Linked DNA regions of Mus musculus: regions 1, 3 and 4 are each reported to be linked to region 2. Evidence: microRNA targets listed by miRTarBase, many of them from high-throughput screens and not tested one by one. Region 2 holds a microRNA gene; each other region holds the end of a gene's coding sequence. Distances are from middle to middle.

The links. Region 2 holds the annotated microRNA mmu-miR-1927 (GACCUCUGGAUGUUAGGGACUGA, at 1,886-1,908, opposite strand). A microRNA usually pairs through its seed, bases 2 to 8, with sites in the 3' UTR of a target mRNA and lowers its output. Matches are read on the target gene's strand: a 7mer-m8 pairs with bases 2 to 8, a 7mer-A1 pairs with bases 2 to 7 and ends in A, and an 8mer does both.
Region 1: miRTarBase lists Mettl21e as a target of mmu-miR-1927. Seed matches in the 3' UTR shown: 7mer-m8 at 2,652-2,658.
Region 3: miRTarBase lists Sertad2 as a target of mmu-miR-1927. Seed matches in the 3' UTR shown: 7mer-A1 at 634-640.
Region 4: the mRNA of Serpinf2 is a reported target of mmu-miR-1927. Seed matches in the 3' UTR shown: 7mer-A1 at 1,037-1,043.

The regions. Positions count from the first base shown.
Region 1 is chr1:44,202,904-44,206,966 of GRCm38, forward strand. Mettl21e (methyltransferase like 21E) reads right to left here. Exons shown (of 5, transcript NM_207281.3): 5 at 1,167-3,850. The coding sequence ends at 3,447. Among named protein-coding and RNA genes, the nearest start is that of Mettl21e, 14 kb to the right of the region's middle.
Region 2 is chr1:160,294,000-160,298,067 of GRCm38, forward strand. It overlaps Mir1927 (microRNA 1927), which reads right to left and starts at 1,973; the gene lies at 1,865-1,973. All of the region lies in intron 19 of Rabgap1l (RAB GTPase activating protein 1-like), which reads right to left.
Region 3 is chr11:20,648,473-20,652,535 of GRCm38, forward strand. It overlaps Sertad2 (SERTA domain containing 2), which reads left to right. Exons shown (of 2, transcript NM_001038625.1): 2 at 1-4,063. The coding sequence ends at 263. Among named protein-coding and RNA genes, the nearest start is that of Sertad2, 19 kb to the left of the region's middle.
Region 4 is chr11:75,429,129-75,433,191 of GRCm38, reverse strand. It overlaps Serpinf2 (serine (or cysteine) peptidase inhibitor, clade F, member 2), which reads left to right. Exons shown (of 10, transcript NM_008878.2): 9 at 1-55; 10 at 377-1,456. The coding sequence ends at 789. Among named protein-coding and RNA genes, the nearest start is that of Gm35391, 6.9 kb to the left of the region's middle.

The DNA.
Region 1 (4,063 bases), 120 Mb from region 2:
TAGTTCATATTGTTGTTCCTCCTATGGGGCTGCTAACCCCTTCAGCTCCTTGGGTACTTTCTCTAGTGTGGAGAGCCGAGATAACATTTGCCATCACAAGATGGCGCCGGCTTCGGCAGTGCCTTATACCACCTAAACAAAGAACAAACTGTGTGCACATGTGCAGGAGTAATGCGCGCCAAAGTCACAAGCCCACCCCCGGGGCGTGTCTTGAGATCGTGGGTAAGCAACCAGTCAGGCTTGGACACGCCACACCAGGGGGTATTTAAGCAGCGCCTTTCTGAGGCTCTTTGTCTTCTTCATCAATATGCAATAAAGATTGGCTGCAGAAGGATTCTTGTGTCCCGTGCGCTTTCTTGCCGGTGAGGAAACAGCATGGGACACTCTAGTTTCTTCATTGGGGACCCTGTGCTCAGACCAATGGTAGGCTATGAGAATCCACCTCTGTATTTGTCAGGCACTGATGGAGCCTCTCAGGAGACAGCTATAACAGGCTTCTGTCAGTAAGCACTTGTTTGCATCCACAAAAGTGTCTGGGTTTTGTGATTGTATGTGGGATGGATCCCCAGGTGGGGCAGTCTCTGGATGGTCTTTCCTTCAGTCTCTGTTCCACACTTTGTCTCTGTAACTCCTTCCATGGGTATTTTGTTCCCAATTCTAAGAAGTATCGAAGTATCCACACTTTGGTCTTCCTTCTTCTTGAGTTTCATGTGTTTTGTGAATTGTATCTTGGGTATTCTGAGCTTGTGGGCTAAAATCTTCTTATCAGTAAGTGCATATCATGTGTGTTCTTTTGAGATTGGGTTACCTCACTCAGGATGGTATCCTCCAGATCCATCCATTTGCCAATTTGATAAATTCATTGTTTCTTTAAAATTTCTTGATCAGTGCTAAATCTGAAGCTTGATTGTATTTCATAGAAAACAACTGCCTTAGAATCAAAGAAACTGGGAAGACTGAGGCATGGATTGAGAGAATCCCTGCTTTTGGGTTTACCCAATGAAAACAATGTTTATGTTACAGGCTAAGGATGAGTTCAATAGACTAAACAGTCAATTGTAAATGGTTGGCTTTTAAAATACTACACAGTTACACACCATCCAAGTAAATGCCAAATGCAGTCAATGAACCCTTAATGATAGAGTTAATATGACCCCAGAATGAATCAATTCTAAGGTCATTTAATGCACCCTATCCCACCAATAGTACCATATGTTTGTACAGAAAATTCTTTGCTTATATGACTTAGACATCAGGGATCAGACATGGATGCATTTAACCAAAATTATCTCCAAAGCAGGCCATTCAAGGTCTAGCAATGAATGGGTCAGCAGAAACTGCCCTTTGTTATTTTCTTCAATTCTCCATCACAACTGCACAGCCTAATCATCGTACACTCTAACCAATGACCGTATAACGTAACCTATGCTTGTACAACCTAACTAACTATTATGCATCATGTTCTCTCCTAGAACCTGGATTTGGGAACCCTAGCCCATAGAACAGGGCTTCCATGATCTACTTCCTACAGCCTCTCTTCAGACCTCATCAATATCTCTGTCTCCCCCTTTGCCACACTATTTTGATGTTTATTCAAGTAGATAAGCATGCCTTTGCCTGTAGATTCCATCATGGCTGTTCCTCCTTGATAAACACAACTCTCATCCCTTCTAGTGCACCTTCTTCTACCCAAGCCTTCTCTGATGTCTCCTACCATGAGTAGAAAGTCTGGAGATAGTGTTAAGAGAAAGAAATATGTCTTATTTTTTTTAATATGTATTTGTTAATTTTTGCTGAGTATCTATTTCCTTTGGAAGAACTGACCTCAGCTGTTTAAGAGTCTTTGAAAGTTACTTTTTCAGTGCATAAAGGCATTATAAAGGAAGACACTGTGCTCAAACCTGGGCTTGACTGTCCTAAATTTCACTGTGCAGCTGTGTAACCTAGGCTTTTGTTTTTTATCTGTGAAGTGAGAATAATCATGTCACTGTCCTGTGCAGGCTGAACACTACATAAATGTGAGACCAAATATCCATTCAAGCAGATACCTGTTGAGACATGTTCCTAAGAAACTCCATGTACTAAGAGCAGCGTATCTGCATTCCAATTTACAGTATGGGATCCAGGAGATGATTATAGAAGTGTTTGACCATGATGTTGTTCAGCCAAGAGGACAGAGCTAACTTCAGAGGAGCAAGTGTCACCAAGTGCACATGATAGCCTAGCAGAGGACACTGAAGTGTTGCCAACCAACACAATCCAGACAGTAGCATGTTATAAAGGCCTAACTCCTTACTCTTTCCACATTGACTTATCTTGCATTAAACCTAATTCTAATCCAAAGGGCCACATAAAGAAGCCTAAGAGGATGTCAAATATCTAGGTATATCTGTGCTTATCAGAAGAGCCTTAAACCTTAAAACAAGCCATGATTGCTTATTGGAGATTAGGAACTTCAATCTTTTTATGCACTTCCAACCCAAAGTTCTTATAATTATTTCATTTTCTGTAAAACAAAAACACAATAATTTCAGGAATTCTTTTTGTTTTGTTTTATTTATATGTTTTTCTTGACAGGGGTTCTTTGTGTAGCCCTGGCCATTCTGAAACTTGTTTTGTAGGCCATGCTAGCCTCAAATTCACAAAGATCCACCTCTGCCTCTGCCTCTGCCTCTGCCTCTGCCTCTGCCTCTGCCTCTGCCTCTGCCTCTGCCTCTGCCTCTGCCTCCCAAGTTATGAGATTAAAAGCATGCTCCACCAGAGTCCAGTTTCATCTGAGGTATTCTTGGGCTCTGTACATCCACATTTTTTAAATCTATTAGAGGAAAATATCCTTGCTTGAAACCTTAGCTCCACATGTTGGTTTATTCAGTAGTTATGCCAGCGGTCCAAACTGCTAAACAGATATGGCAGCCCACCTCTAAACTTCGACTGTTGGGAACCATAGACATCATATAACTGCCTTTTCAGATTTATTTTCTCTAGAGCCACTTTATTGATTTCTTTTAAGTATAGAAATCATTTAAACCTACATTTAAGAGGATTAACAACTTGGATGGGTGTGGTAGTACACACCTGTAGTACTAACACTTAAGGAGGCTGAGGTAAGATTTCAAGTTCAAGGCCAATCTAAGCTATAATTTTCAAAACGAAATAAAATTAATAACATTCAGTTAGAGATATCATTATTGAAAATTTCCATCTTTGCAATGAGAATAGTGTGGTGTTGCTGAATGTAATTTGAGGGCTGAACAGACAGATTTGAGAACAAATTATCTTTATCCTACACCTACTGTGTGTATGTAAAAACCCTTGCCTCTAATAAGGTAAGTTTAGAGTTACTTTTTACTCTCACAGTAGGGTGTGTGTGTGTGTTCTTTAAGGTAATGATTTACTAAAAACTACCTTGGCACCACACTCATGTCCTCATTCACAGTCACAATGCACTAGGCACTCCTCCGATTTTTCTTCATAGCTTTGTACAACTTAATATTCAGGCTAGGGAAACTAGAAATTTCTTCCAGGTCAAACAGTTCCTTAAATTTATCTACAAATTTATTTTCTTTCTCCAGCCTGAATCTCATAGCCCAGAGTATAATGGTAGTTTCTTTGCAGAGATGGTCAAAGGTCATGAGAAGCTCCTCCAGGAACGGATGGGCATAGACAACATCTGCTGCCAGGATGTAGTCAAAGTTATTGGAAGACCTGGGGAAATTCCTGTCTAATGCTACTCCCCAGGATAGTTCTTTGACCTGAGGCAGATGCTTGCATTTCATTTTGGTGTTTCTGGAAATATTATATTGCAGGTTTCCAAGTAATTCAGGTAAGTCTGTAGCAATCACACGAGCACCTGTGAAAAAGAGGTTCAGATGAAAGGTGATCCTCCTGGAATGTCAGTCAGGTCTCAAACCAACATGCACTCTGAGATTCTTTATAATGGCTAGATCCAAAGAAAAGACTGGGAGCACATACAGAAGGACAATGCTTTTCATAATGGGCTCCAAAAACACTTTTGTGACCCTCTTTTTAAAAGAAGAACAAGGTAGAATCTTGTGGTAATTCT
Region 2 (4,068 bases):
TAACTTTACAGGTACAAAGAGTATAGTGCTTGCCCAGAAAGTACAACACCTGGGGTTCAATCCTCAGCACGACTAAATGAATTAATTAACCTTTACTTCTTATGTGCATAAATGCTGACAGATGTTTGTCATGAATACACAGTAGACCAATAATTACTATTCTTACACGATTCTTTATTGGTTTCCAGTATCCTATATTGTTCACTGGAGTATATATGGTATGTACAGTGCATACCATGCTGGGATGGAGAAAAATGGGAAATAAAACTAAACACAACTCTTGCTCTCGTACAGAGATTAACAATGAAACACACACAAACACACACACAAATGTTATCTGCCAAAGAAACACACAGAAACCACACGAAAAAGGTTTGATTAAGATTTCTCCTAGCCAGTTATAACGTTACAGGAAAAGAAAGGTATCTAAAACTGTTGTTTCGGATGATAGAAATGAGAGAATTCACTATCTGTGAGCTAAGATAGAAAAATAATCTATTCCTCTGAAACTCTAATGGAATTTATCAGCTTTCAGTTATAAATATTGGTAAGAATATACTATATTATTTCTAAGTGGTCACTAATAAGTACTACAAATATTTTAAGTCACTCTGGAAGCAGTGCTTGTATCTCAAAATACTATTTATATTTTTTACTTTTGGCATTGAGGTAGTCATCAGACTTACTAACACATTTTGCTATCTACTATATTAATATATTAATAAAGAATCATATGTCATAATGTCATAAATTTGGCTATTTGCTTTGATCAATGTATTCCAATATCATTAGTTTACTACGTAGCCTTATGTACATCCTATATTTAAAAATATTTTCTTGCTCAAGGTCCACAGGCCTAACCAGACTGCCAAAGAACTCTGTGACTCCACAGCTACTGAGAATCCCTGGACTACAGAACTGGGCCTTGTTGAAAAAACAGCATTGGTTCCTAGAGCTTCATTGGCAAGGCTGCTGTTCATAATTACTTTTGGAAGAGATAAGAAAGAAAGGTGCCAATTCACTGAAAAGTTTCAGGAAAAATGACAGGAAAACTGATGGAACTGGATATGATCATGCTAAATGTAATAAAACAGACATATTTTTCCTCCCTATGCAGAATCTAGATTTATTTTTAAAAAATAGAGCAAAAATGGGGATACGCAGGAGGATGCAAAAGCAAAGGGAATGAATGGGGTGAGGGAGTCTGAGCAAAGTACGATGACATAGGTGCACAAAAATCTCAAAAAAAGATCCACATTCCAGAAGGAATGGGCGTGAAATGTTTATATATTTATAAACATAAATATAATAGGTAGCAAAAACATTTAGTACAAATATCAGTAATATTATTAGGGATAAATTATCATAAACACATAATCTCATTGTAAAAAGCTTTTAAAAATGATTCTAAAAGCAATTTAGAACCTAATTGCACTAACAAGATTTCCATTGCAAGGACTGGGGCCACAGTGCAGTTGGATACTTATCTAAAACGCACAAAGCTCTAGGTTTCTTTCCTAGCTCCTTATAAACTGGCATAGTGCTTCACATAGATAACCTAAGTATTGGCTGTAAGTAAAGGCAGGAGGATCAGGGTTCAAGGTCTTCCTCTGCTACACAATTCACACAATGAATTCAAGGCCATCCAGAACTACATAAAACCCTATCTCCAATTAGAAAAAAAAAATCCCTAGTACACACTAACAGCACAAACCAAAAGGACTTTCCTACTGTTATGTAAATAGCACACATGATTTAGAACAAATTCTCTACTAACTTTTCACATGGATTCAAACAGGTGATATAATACAAATCTAGCTAAAGACTGGAGAGATGGTTCAGCAATTAGGCACACTGGCTGTTCTTGTAGAGAGAGGATGCATGTTCAGTCCCTAACATCCAGAGGTCAGTTCACAGCCACTTGCAACTCTGGTTTCTAGGGATCTGAACCTACATGCACATGGTAAACATACATACGGTCAAGGACACATACACATACACAAAATATATCTTTTCAAAATATATAGTTGAAATGATGGTGATTAGTGTGAAATAGTACGGAAGAATCCATAATTAGGTTTAGTCATGATAGTAATTATAACCCCCAACCCCAAAGTAATATGTTGGTAAATCTGAATTACCATTAGAATTTATTACATTTTCAGTGTGTGTGTGTGTGTGTATGTGTGTATGTGTAGCTCAAGTTTTTATTCTGCTGTATAGAGTTCAGGATTAACTAAACTACTTAAATTATTAAGGAAATAGATATGATTAATCAATCTAGGCATTCCACAACATTTAAATGTATCAAAATATTACATGATACCCAACAAATATGTGCAATTTTTATTGTCAGTTAAAATCATTTAAAATAATTTATTTTAAATATTTACTTATATTTTATATATATGTAAATGTGTGTCTTGGTTACTTTTCTACTGCTATAAAGAGACACCATAACTAAAGCAACTTGTAGAAGAGTTTTTAGGGGCTTGCCTGTAGTTTCAGAGATTTAGAACCCATGACTATCAGGCAGATAGGCATGGTGCTAGAACAGTAGGCGAGAGAGAGCTTCATCCTTATTAGCAAGCAAGAGGCAGAGAGCTAACTGGGAACTGGCTTGGGCTTTTGAAATCTCAAAACCCATACCAATCACACACCTCCTCTAACAAGACCATATCTCCTAATCCTTCCTAAACTGGTCTACCAACCTGGGCTATGTATTCAACTATCTGAGCCTATGGAGGCTATTCTCATTCAAACTACTACAGTGTGTTTGTGAGAGTGTATGTTGAGTTAGCAGGTATCCTCAGAGGCCAGAAAAGGTTAGATGCCCTGGAGCTACAATTTCAAGTAGTTGGGACCTCCCTATAGGACTGGCTGCTAGGAACTGAACTCAGGGTCTCTGGAAAAATAGGAAGTGCTCTTAAGCTACTGAGCCATCTCTCCCACGCCCAAATAGTTTACTTTTTCCAAATAAGTAAATAAATAAATAATTGAGGAATTAAAAACTAAAAGAGGGCTTCTATATTATTTTCATCCTGCTAGAAATCAGTATGTAAACCTTACAATCATCAGGGCTACAGTGTTATTTCTGTTGCTCATTTAGAAGCCCATTTCTAAGGCAGTGTACAGTCCTCACAATGACTTTTAATACTACAGTTTGATACTGAGCTTGAGCTTTGCAGTGAGTTTTTGACATAATACTGGCTTCTCTAATAATATAACCATAATTTTAAATTCCTGTTACCCACACCTAAAATCTGAGTCATTTGATTTTGAAACATAATGTGTCATACAAGAAATAAACCCTTACTACTTCATCTAGTTTATGTAGCTCTGCTGCACAGCCTGACCTCTAACTTCCTCCCCAGTTTCATTTCTTACCACACTGACTCTGATCCTACCATTTAGAGGGCTCTCTCCAGGTCCCCTCCCCCCACTTGAGGTACATTTTCCCAGTTTTCCCATAGCTGTTCACATCTCAGATGGCAGGAGCAGGACCCTTACTGGTACACTACTCCATGTGAAGCCTGGTAAATAGCATCACTAGCTCATGTTTCTGTTTTGTGTTTCTCACTGTAAGACTCACAATAGGTACCACAAATTGCTTTGCACAGGTAGATCTTCTGTGCCAAGAACATAATGCAGTTAGCACACTGTAACAGATCAATGAATATTTGGTTGATGATCAAACTAAATAAAAATGTCAATGGCCAATGCAGAACAATAAAAATCTTAGAGTGTTTTCACCTAGTAGGAGTATAAACACATGAAACAGATTAATAAAAATTAGTGCATTGTGTCAACTATTCCTGTAACAAACGCTTCTATAAAAGGATATTTAGAATTGGTTCATTGTAATAGGAGATAGTCTAGGGCTTCTATGACGTAATTTCCATGAGGTCATCATCCTCAATGGGGTGAGACTTTGTGGTAATAATTGTTTTGAGATCATTCATGCCCCTGCAAGCAGCCCTTTATTCATGTTCCTAACTTTTCAGGACTGTCTATTCCTCACTCCTCTGGAATTTCATAAGGATGTGCACTATGGACCAAATATGGCCC
Region 3 (4,063 bases), not on the chromosome of region 2:
ATTTTGAAATAACAACGTCCACGGGTTTCCTGACAGACTTGACCCTGGATGACATCTTGTTTGCTGACATTGATACATCCATGTACGATTTTGACCCCTGCACATCTGCATCGGGGACAGCCTCAAAGATGGCCCCTGTGTCAGCTGATGACCTCCTCAAGACCCTGGCTCCTTACAGCAATCAGCCTGTTGCCCCAAGTCAGCCTTTCAAAATGGATCTCACGGAGCTGGACCACATCATGGAGGTGCTTGTTGGCTCCTGAGACCTGGGCCCACGTGACTGCGCCCAGCCAGGCTCTGCACCCTTGCAGCCCCGACAGTTTCTCCGCACTGTGCATGGACCCTTGCTTGCCTTTTTCAGAGAAAAAGAAAATTTTACAAAAGGATCACACTAGTATTTTCTTCAAGCAGAGTTGGAGTGCCTTCATTCGAGTATGCCCACTTGTAACACACTCTTCTGAGTGGGTTCCTCAGAGCCCTGCTGCCCTGGCGTAGGAGAGAAGACATTTGAAGACTGTGTTGCTAATGTTGAAAGGTGAACAGGAACAGTTCAAGTGAAGCACAAGGATTAAGTTGGAAAAGCTGTAAATTGCATGTGCATATTTGTCTATTTTTTCTATAAGTTTTATTGCAAGAGGTAAAAAAAAAAAAGAATATATATCTATATTATTTGGATAATCTCAGTACCTTTTCTGGCGTTTTGCCCTGTGTAAGTTGACTTGGCAATTCAGCCTTTTTAGAGGCATTAACTACTCGTAAGTGTTGCATTTACATGGCTGTTTAGAAAACTGCTGCCCAAATTTATTTTATATTTTTGTACAGATTCTGCAGTTTATGATATTGTTTTTCTAAACACAAATGCTGTTTATACCTATGAAATAGCTATTTTGATAGGATTTGCTCACATAGTTCCTGCAAACATGAGATGTACAAGTTGCACTTGTACTTTTATAGGACTTGTAATGTTTTATATGTGTGTGGTGCAAGAGAGAACTGGATCACGTCAGTCTGCAGTTGATGTCCCCACTGCAAATACACACAGCGCTTTCATAAAGGGCCAGGTGATCTGACACCCAAATTTCACAAGCACCAGCCCCTGGCACGGTCACCCGCCAGCACTGTGACTTCCAAAGCCAGAGCCCTGTCTGCTCATCAAACATGCATTAAGCAGTTGGCGGGGAGATGGCTGTGTTTCTTGGGGTAGGGAGGGCGGAGTTGATGTGGCAGGCTCCTTAGCTCCCTCTTTTGAACAGAGGCTGCATCATCTTATTTAAGAGTGGACTCAGCAGGGTGTGGTGGCACACCCCTGTAATTCCAGCATTTGGGAGGCAGGGGCAGGCAGATTTTTGTGAGTTCCAGTCCAGCCAGAACTATACAGTGAGAAAACCCTGTCTCAAGGTGGGGGTGGGGAGGGAGGGGGAACAGGGGGATAAAAAACAAAACAAAACTGTATTTATGCCAAGTTGCTATTTTAATTGTTTTTATTTTAAATTTTTGAAATGAAAACCCCAGTCTTTGTCTTTTGGCATAGCTTTTATGACGAGACCACAATTTTACACAACAAAATTTTACAACAAGCAACTGACCTTTTGCTGGAGGTGAGCCCCACTTCAGTACTTAGTTCCCCAGAAGGCATCCATCGTGTTGCTGAGCTGCCTCTCCCATGTCCTTTCCCTGGAGCTTTTGTTCCCTCTGTTGCTAAGAGCTGCAAATGGCATCTTTCTGATCAGCACAGTGAGCTAGCTCTGCGCACCTCCGCCAGCCGGGACGCGCTCGCTCGCTCTCCTGACATCTGTGACTAGAGCCGCAGTCCACCGCCTTATGTCATGGTGTCCAATCTGGTTGCTTTCCTTAATTAACTGCTAATTTAACTACACTTTACAAAGCTGTTATTCCCAAATACATAGAGAGGAATTTCTATGCACGTCTCTGGCCTTCCCCTACCCCCATGTGCTAGCCCCTCCAGCGGCTCTTTCTTTAGTGATCCCCCCAACACGTGCACTCATGAGATGCAGTCGTTTGTTTTAGTGTATCAGGCCTGTTGCTGAAACCGCCTTTCTGTTTCATGGCTCGCTCTTGCAGTGTGGTATTTGAGCTGTTGAGTGCAGGTTACAACCTATATGGCTTCTTTAGAAATAACTTTTATATTTATTTAAAAAAACTTAAATTATGGGATTTTGTTTTTGTTTTTGGTTGTCTTTGTTGGTCATTTGTCAATATACAGTCACCAACCAACTCTGCTCACTTCTTGCCATGGATAAAATGGGCCTTTCTGGCCAATTAAAAAGATAAATTTTATAAATGGCACTTTAAAACAAGCCATAAATAGATTTATTTTTATAATGCACATGGCAAGCAAATGCATTTGTGATGAAGGAACTGCTCATCCAAGCAGAAGATTTGTGGATGGTGCGATTAATATCTTTTTACCTTTTCTTCACTGGAATGTGTCTGACAGGCTGACTGTCAGCTCTGGAGCAGCGGGAGGCTGATCCAGCTGTGCTCCTACAGGCACCTCCAGCCTTTCACCAGCCCCTTCACGCGTGTGTCTCCTTTCTTGTAGGGCAGGGACCACACGTAGGGGAGGTTGTCATGCACACTTGCAAGTGTCTCTGTGCCTGTCCATCTTAAGAACTTGTCTGTCTTGTAGAGAGCAGGTCTGCCCGTACTCTGTGTGTTTTAGAACTGGAGGATCCTGTGAACTGGCCACATGCCACACACATCTGCATACATGTGCATATACAGTAGTGTTGATGATTCCCAGCAAAAATGGCACAAAGCAGTTGATTGCCATTGTCAAAAACTGATTTACAGTAACTTAGAACAACTGTACTTTTGTTGGATTAGCAAATCATGTGTTTAAACAATCCCATATGTTGGGCAACAGTTCAAATAAGCACAGAGAAGCATTGCCCAAACTTGGTTCTCAAACTCTAGTGCATTTGTAAGGCTGGGCTTCAAAATCAAAACACCCACCCCCAACACCGGCAGGCAGAGTGCTAATTCCTGAAACATCCATGGGAAGCCAATGGCCCTGTTTTCAGGAAGAGCAAGCCCACCAAGAGTTAAGACTGTCTTTGTGTCCTATTTATACTAAGCCATGTCCCAACAGGGAAGAGTTTGGAACCAGAGTGAGAGCTCCCAGTCCCAGTTTGAGTGGGGGAATGTGCTTCTAGACGCTTCCTGGCAGTAGTGGCTCACCTTCACAAAGACAGTCTTGTGGCATCCGAGCCAGGCAGACAGCCTGGGGTGCCTGGGCCTGACAAGCTTGTTGACAATGACGTGCAATGACGTGACAAGGTGAGAGCAGAATCCTGAGAGACTTAAAGGGATGGTTTTCCCCATAAGTTATTTATTCTTTTTTTTTTTCTGTGTAAATATATTTATTTTATTGTGGCACTCTAATAACATCCTGGTGGTATGGTGCAGAATGTATGGTAGGAATGTATTTCTTGTAGGGATGTAGATCTGTGTGTATTAAAAGGGGGAGCCAAGCCAGCCCCCACCTGTCTCTTCATCAGATACAGTCCACATTCATTTTTAACTCTCATCTCCAATATGGGTCTATTTAAAATATGCAAAAAGGTATGGATGAGGAATGTTTTAATACCTCCAAATTTTTAAAAAAATCAAGCATAAAAGAGTTGATAATTTTTTAAAGTTTTCTTAGTAGCACTTTCTCTTGATGACAGAAGGGCAACACATAGGCACCCACCTTCATACCAAAGGGTGAGAAATGGCCACAGCCTCCTACACCACTCCAGTGTCTTTAGCAATTGAGCTTTCTATCGCCATAGCCCCAACCATCCTGAGGTCAATCAAGGAAAATTTCTTTACGACGTAAGCTCCAAAGAGCCAAAGTATCAACTCACGGATCATTTTTAAAGCCTAAATTTCTTACCACCTTTGCAGTAAACAATGAATTATGAACACTGCAAGGGCAGCCTTCTTAAATGACAGACACAAAGACTGCTTGTGCAGCAATCGCTACTCTACTCTCTGAATTGTCTTAATTGTGAAACCTTGCTCTTACAGATTGAACCTTTTTACATTTCTGAAAATA
Region 4 (4,063 bases), not on the chromosome of region 2:
CCTAAACTCCATCTGCAACAGCAGCTGGACCTGGTGGCCACCCTCAGCCAACTGGGTAAGGAGCTTGGGGATAGGGTGCCCCTAGGTGGTCTGGGCAGAGTACGGGAGCTGCCAGTGTGCCTGAGCCAGAGGTGGCCCTGCTTCCTGGATGGGAGCATTTGATATGCTCCTCTAGACTTTCTGTCCTGTACCTAGCGCAGATCCTGATTTAAAAAAAAAAAAAAAAAAAAAAAAAGGTTTCTAGAAGTGTTGTCTAGACTGAGGTCTAACAGATTCCAATCAACCGCTGGGTTCAAGTGTTCCCTTTAGCCAGGATGCTAGACAGATCCACATAGCCTTGGGGCAGCACTGACCAGTCATCTGCTGTTCTGGGCAGGCCTGCAGGAATTGTTCCAGGGCCCAGACCTTCGTGGGATCTCTGAGCAGAATCTGGTGGTGTCTAGCGTGCAACATCAGTCTACCATGGAGCTCAGCGAGGCTGGTGTGGAGGCAGCCGCAGCTACCAGCGTAGCCATGAATCGAATGTCCCTCTCCTCCTTCACTGTGAACCGACCCTTCCTCTTCTTCATCATGGAGGACACCATAGGCGTGCCCCTCTTTGTGGGCAGTGTGAGGAACCCTAACCCCAGCGCGCTGCCCCAGCTCCAGGAACAGCGAGATTCCCCTGACAACAGGCTCATAGGCCAGAATGACAAAGCTGACTTCCATGGAGGCAAGACCTTTGGTCCTGACTTGAAACTTGCACCCCGCATGGAGGAAGACTACCCCCAGTTCAGCTCCCCCAAGTGAGGAGGGGCCCTGGGCAGCAGCATCCTGAGTCCCCACCTGGATCAGCCTCTCAGCTCCTGTGACTCTTTCTAACCAGCTTTGTGGGATAGGGTGGGACCGGAAGGACCATCACCAGTGTAGAAGCTGTTCTCTTGCAGCAGGTGGGGTGGGGCCTGGAGGAAGGCAGGCATGGGGAATCTTCATTTCTTCCCAAGGGGCTCAGGGGGTGATCTTTTGTGGGCTGGCACTTGTGGACACAGTTTTGGCTAGAGGTAGGTTAGGCAAGTCCCTAACTTAGGGTCCCTCCACATTTGTAAGCAGAGGCTGGAGAGGCCATCTTTAGACATATTCCAGACACCCTGGGTGGGAAAAGGAGAGACAAGTGTTGGTCTCCCAAGCTTAGACTGGCCTTGGTGTTATACTTCATGGTTGGAGGCTGACCTACCCTACAAGAGTGTCCCTTGCTGAAGACATTCAGGTCCCCAACCTGTGTCCTGTCACCCAAGTCACCCCTCTGGTATTTGGAGATGCCAACACTGCCAGGAGTCTTCCTCCTTCTTCTCTCTCTTGTCCTCCCCTGCCAGGAATCTTGGGGACTGAGGCAAGGAAGGGACCCTTTAGCTCCCAAGACTCTTTTGTAAAGTTTTTGTAGTGATTTTTATGCCACCTGAATAAAGAATGAATGGGCCGGGCTGGTTTGACGTCACAGTTCTGGGCAAATGGATGTGGCTGGGAGGCACCCACGGGGCAGATTGCACTGAGCCCTCTCTGTGCCACGTTTGGTCCCTGGCCACATGCCAGTCCTCTCTAGGTCTACTAGGGCTACCTCCATGCCAGCCTGGCTCAGCTCTCAGCCTTTTCCTCTATGTGTGCCTCGGGCAGCCGGTAACAAGGACAGCTCAGAACTGGCAATTAGGGAGCTAGCGGGTTTCTAATTACACCCTAGTCGCTATGCCAGGAGCAGGCGCCCGCCAGCCGGGGCCAGGCTGACAGCTGGAGGCTGGCAGTGTCTGAGAATTTTGGGGATGTAGTTGGGGATACTTGGCACCGGGCTGGCTACTTCCTGCGAGAGAGTAGAAGCTGGAGGCAGAAGTGGTGTGCTTGTGAATGGTGAGAGCTACCCTCTGGGGTAGGCACATCTCCTTGATGAGATCTCCTGTGTGTCCGTGTGGCAATAGCCCTCTGGAGCCCCAGTGTCCCTGGGCAGTGTCCGGTGGGGAGGATTAGAAGGGTAAGAAGTCCCTGGTGTAGGATCCTGATGCAGCTAAGTGTGTATGTGCGTATAGGGTGGGGGTGGGAGGTGGAGACACTAGGGAAATGTGTGGTATATCAGAGGGTGAGGGTCCCTAATTGAGACACGAACAGTGGAGTCAGGAGCAAGCCTATCCAGCAGGTGACACCAATCAGAGCAGGAGCCAAAGGAGGTGATGGAGAGTACCTCAGAAGTTTCAGGAAGAGAACTGGGGGGCTGCTGGGGAGAGGAGAAGCAAGAGCAGAAGGTCTGGGCTGAGGACATGCGCAGAAGTCCAAGATGAGCAGAGCATGAGGCTGGGGAGGAGGGAGGAAGGAGGAGGGAGGAGGAGGAATCAGTAGCTGAGTACAGGACCTGCAGCTCTAGGACCACACAAAGAGAAAAGAGGTCTGCTATCTACTTTTATTTTGTGTGTATAAGTATTTTATCTGAATGTATGTTTGTGTGTCATACGTGTTCAATGGCTATGGAGACCAGAAGAGGGCGTCAGAGTATCTGAAACTGGGGTTGCAGATTTCTGGTATACCATATGGGTGCTGGGAACCGAACCTGGGTCACTGAGAGAGCAGCAAGTGCTCTTAACTGATGAGCCATCTTTTCTCCACTCACTCACTCACTCACTCTCTCCTCCCTTCCCTTCCTCCCCCTCCCTCCCTCCCTTCCCTCCCTCCCTCCCTCCCTCCGTCCCTCCCTCCCTTCCTTCCTTCCTTCCTTCCTTCCTTCCTTCCTTCCTTCCTTCCTTCCTTCTTTCCTTTTCCTTTTGTTTTTTTGTAGACAGGGTTTCTCTGTGTAACCCTAGCTGTCTTGGACCTCCTTTGTACACCAGGCTGCTCTTGAACTCACAGAGATCCACCTGCCTCTGCCTCCCAAGTGCTAGGATCAAAGACGTGTGCCACCGCTGCCAGGCATTCCCTGACTTTTTTTTTAAAAGATTTTAATTTTAGTTTTAATTATGTCTAAGTATGGCCGGGCGGCGGTGGCACACGCCTTTAATCCCAGCATTTGGGAGGCAGAGGCAGGCGAATTTCTGAGTTCGAGGCCAGCCTGGTCTACAAAGTGAGTTCCAGGACAGCCAGGGCTATACAGAGAAACCCTGTCTCAAAAAACAAAAATAAAAACAAAAACGAAAAAAAAAAAAAAAAAAAAAGAAGGCTGGTTAGTTTGCCTACCCAGGGTGCAGATCAAAGTCATAGAATTTGCGGCTAGACCACAGGGGATAAGAGAACGACAGACTCAAGGATGATGGCATTTGTCCTTTTAATTTCCAAGTTCCTGTGAGAAATGGGTAGGGGTGGTGCCTTTGACCGAGCCAGGAAGCAGAACAATTGTAGGGTGGTTGGGAGATTTGCTCTTTAAACATGTTATAATGGCAATGTCCCTCTGATACAGGACAATCACACGCCCCATTTTGCCTGGGAAAAATTAGAGTTATTTCTGTCACTTGAGCTAATTAGTAGCATCCAGTCTTGCTGTTGGAAGTGTCCCATGAGTTCATTCCTGGGCTACCAAGTGGATGGATCTGGGAGTCATAGCACCGCTGACTCTGGCTTTGAGGTCATCCATTTTGAATGGCAAGGAGTTGACTGAATATTTTGGTAAGGGCTGGAAGTGTATATTTGACAGCACAGAGATGCTTTAAGTCATGGAGCTAGAGACTGGATGGAGCTCCTGCTGAGCATGTGCAAGGCCCTGGGTTTTCTCCACAGTGGGGGCGGGGGGACCCTGAACTAGAAGAGATCCTTTAAGGAGATATTTTGTTCATAGAAAGGAAAAGGGTCCAAGGATCAACAAGCAGAGACAGAGAAGATAGGGTACTTAAGGGTGGGAGAAAATGGCGACAAGAGAGAAGAAGCTCCGAGAAGACAGAGCTCTGCTCTGCTGCCTGCTACTGAGGAGAGTTTCCGTGTGGCAGTCAACACAAGTCACTTGCTGCAGTGGTTTCAGAGGAGATGAGCACAGAAGCAGAGGGGAGGAGGAAGTGGGAGCCGAGACTGTGTAGACATAAGCGCAAACAGCTCTTTACTTCATGGCGGTGAGGGAAGT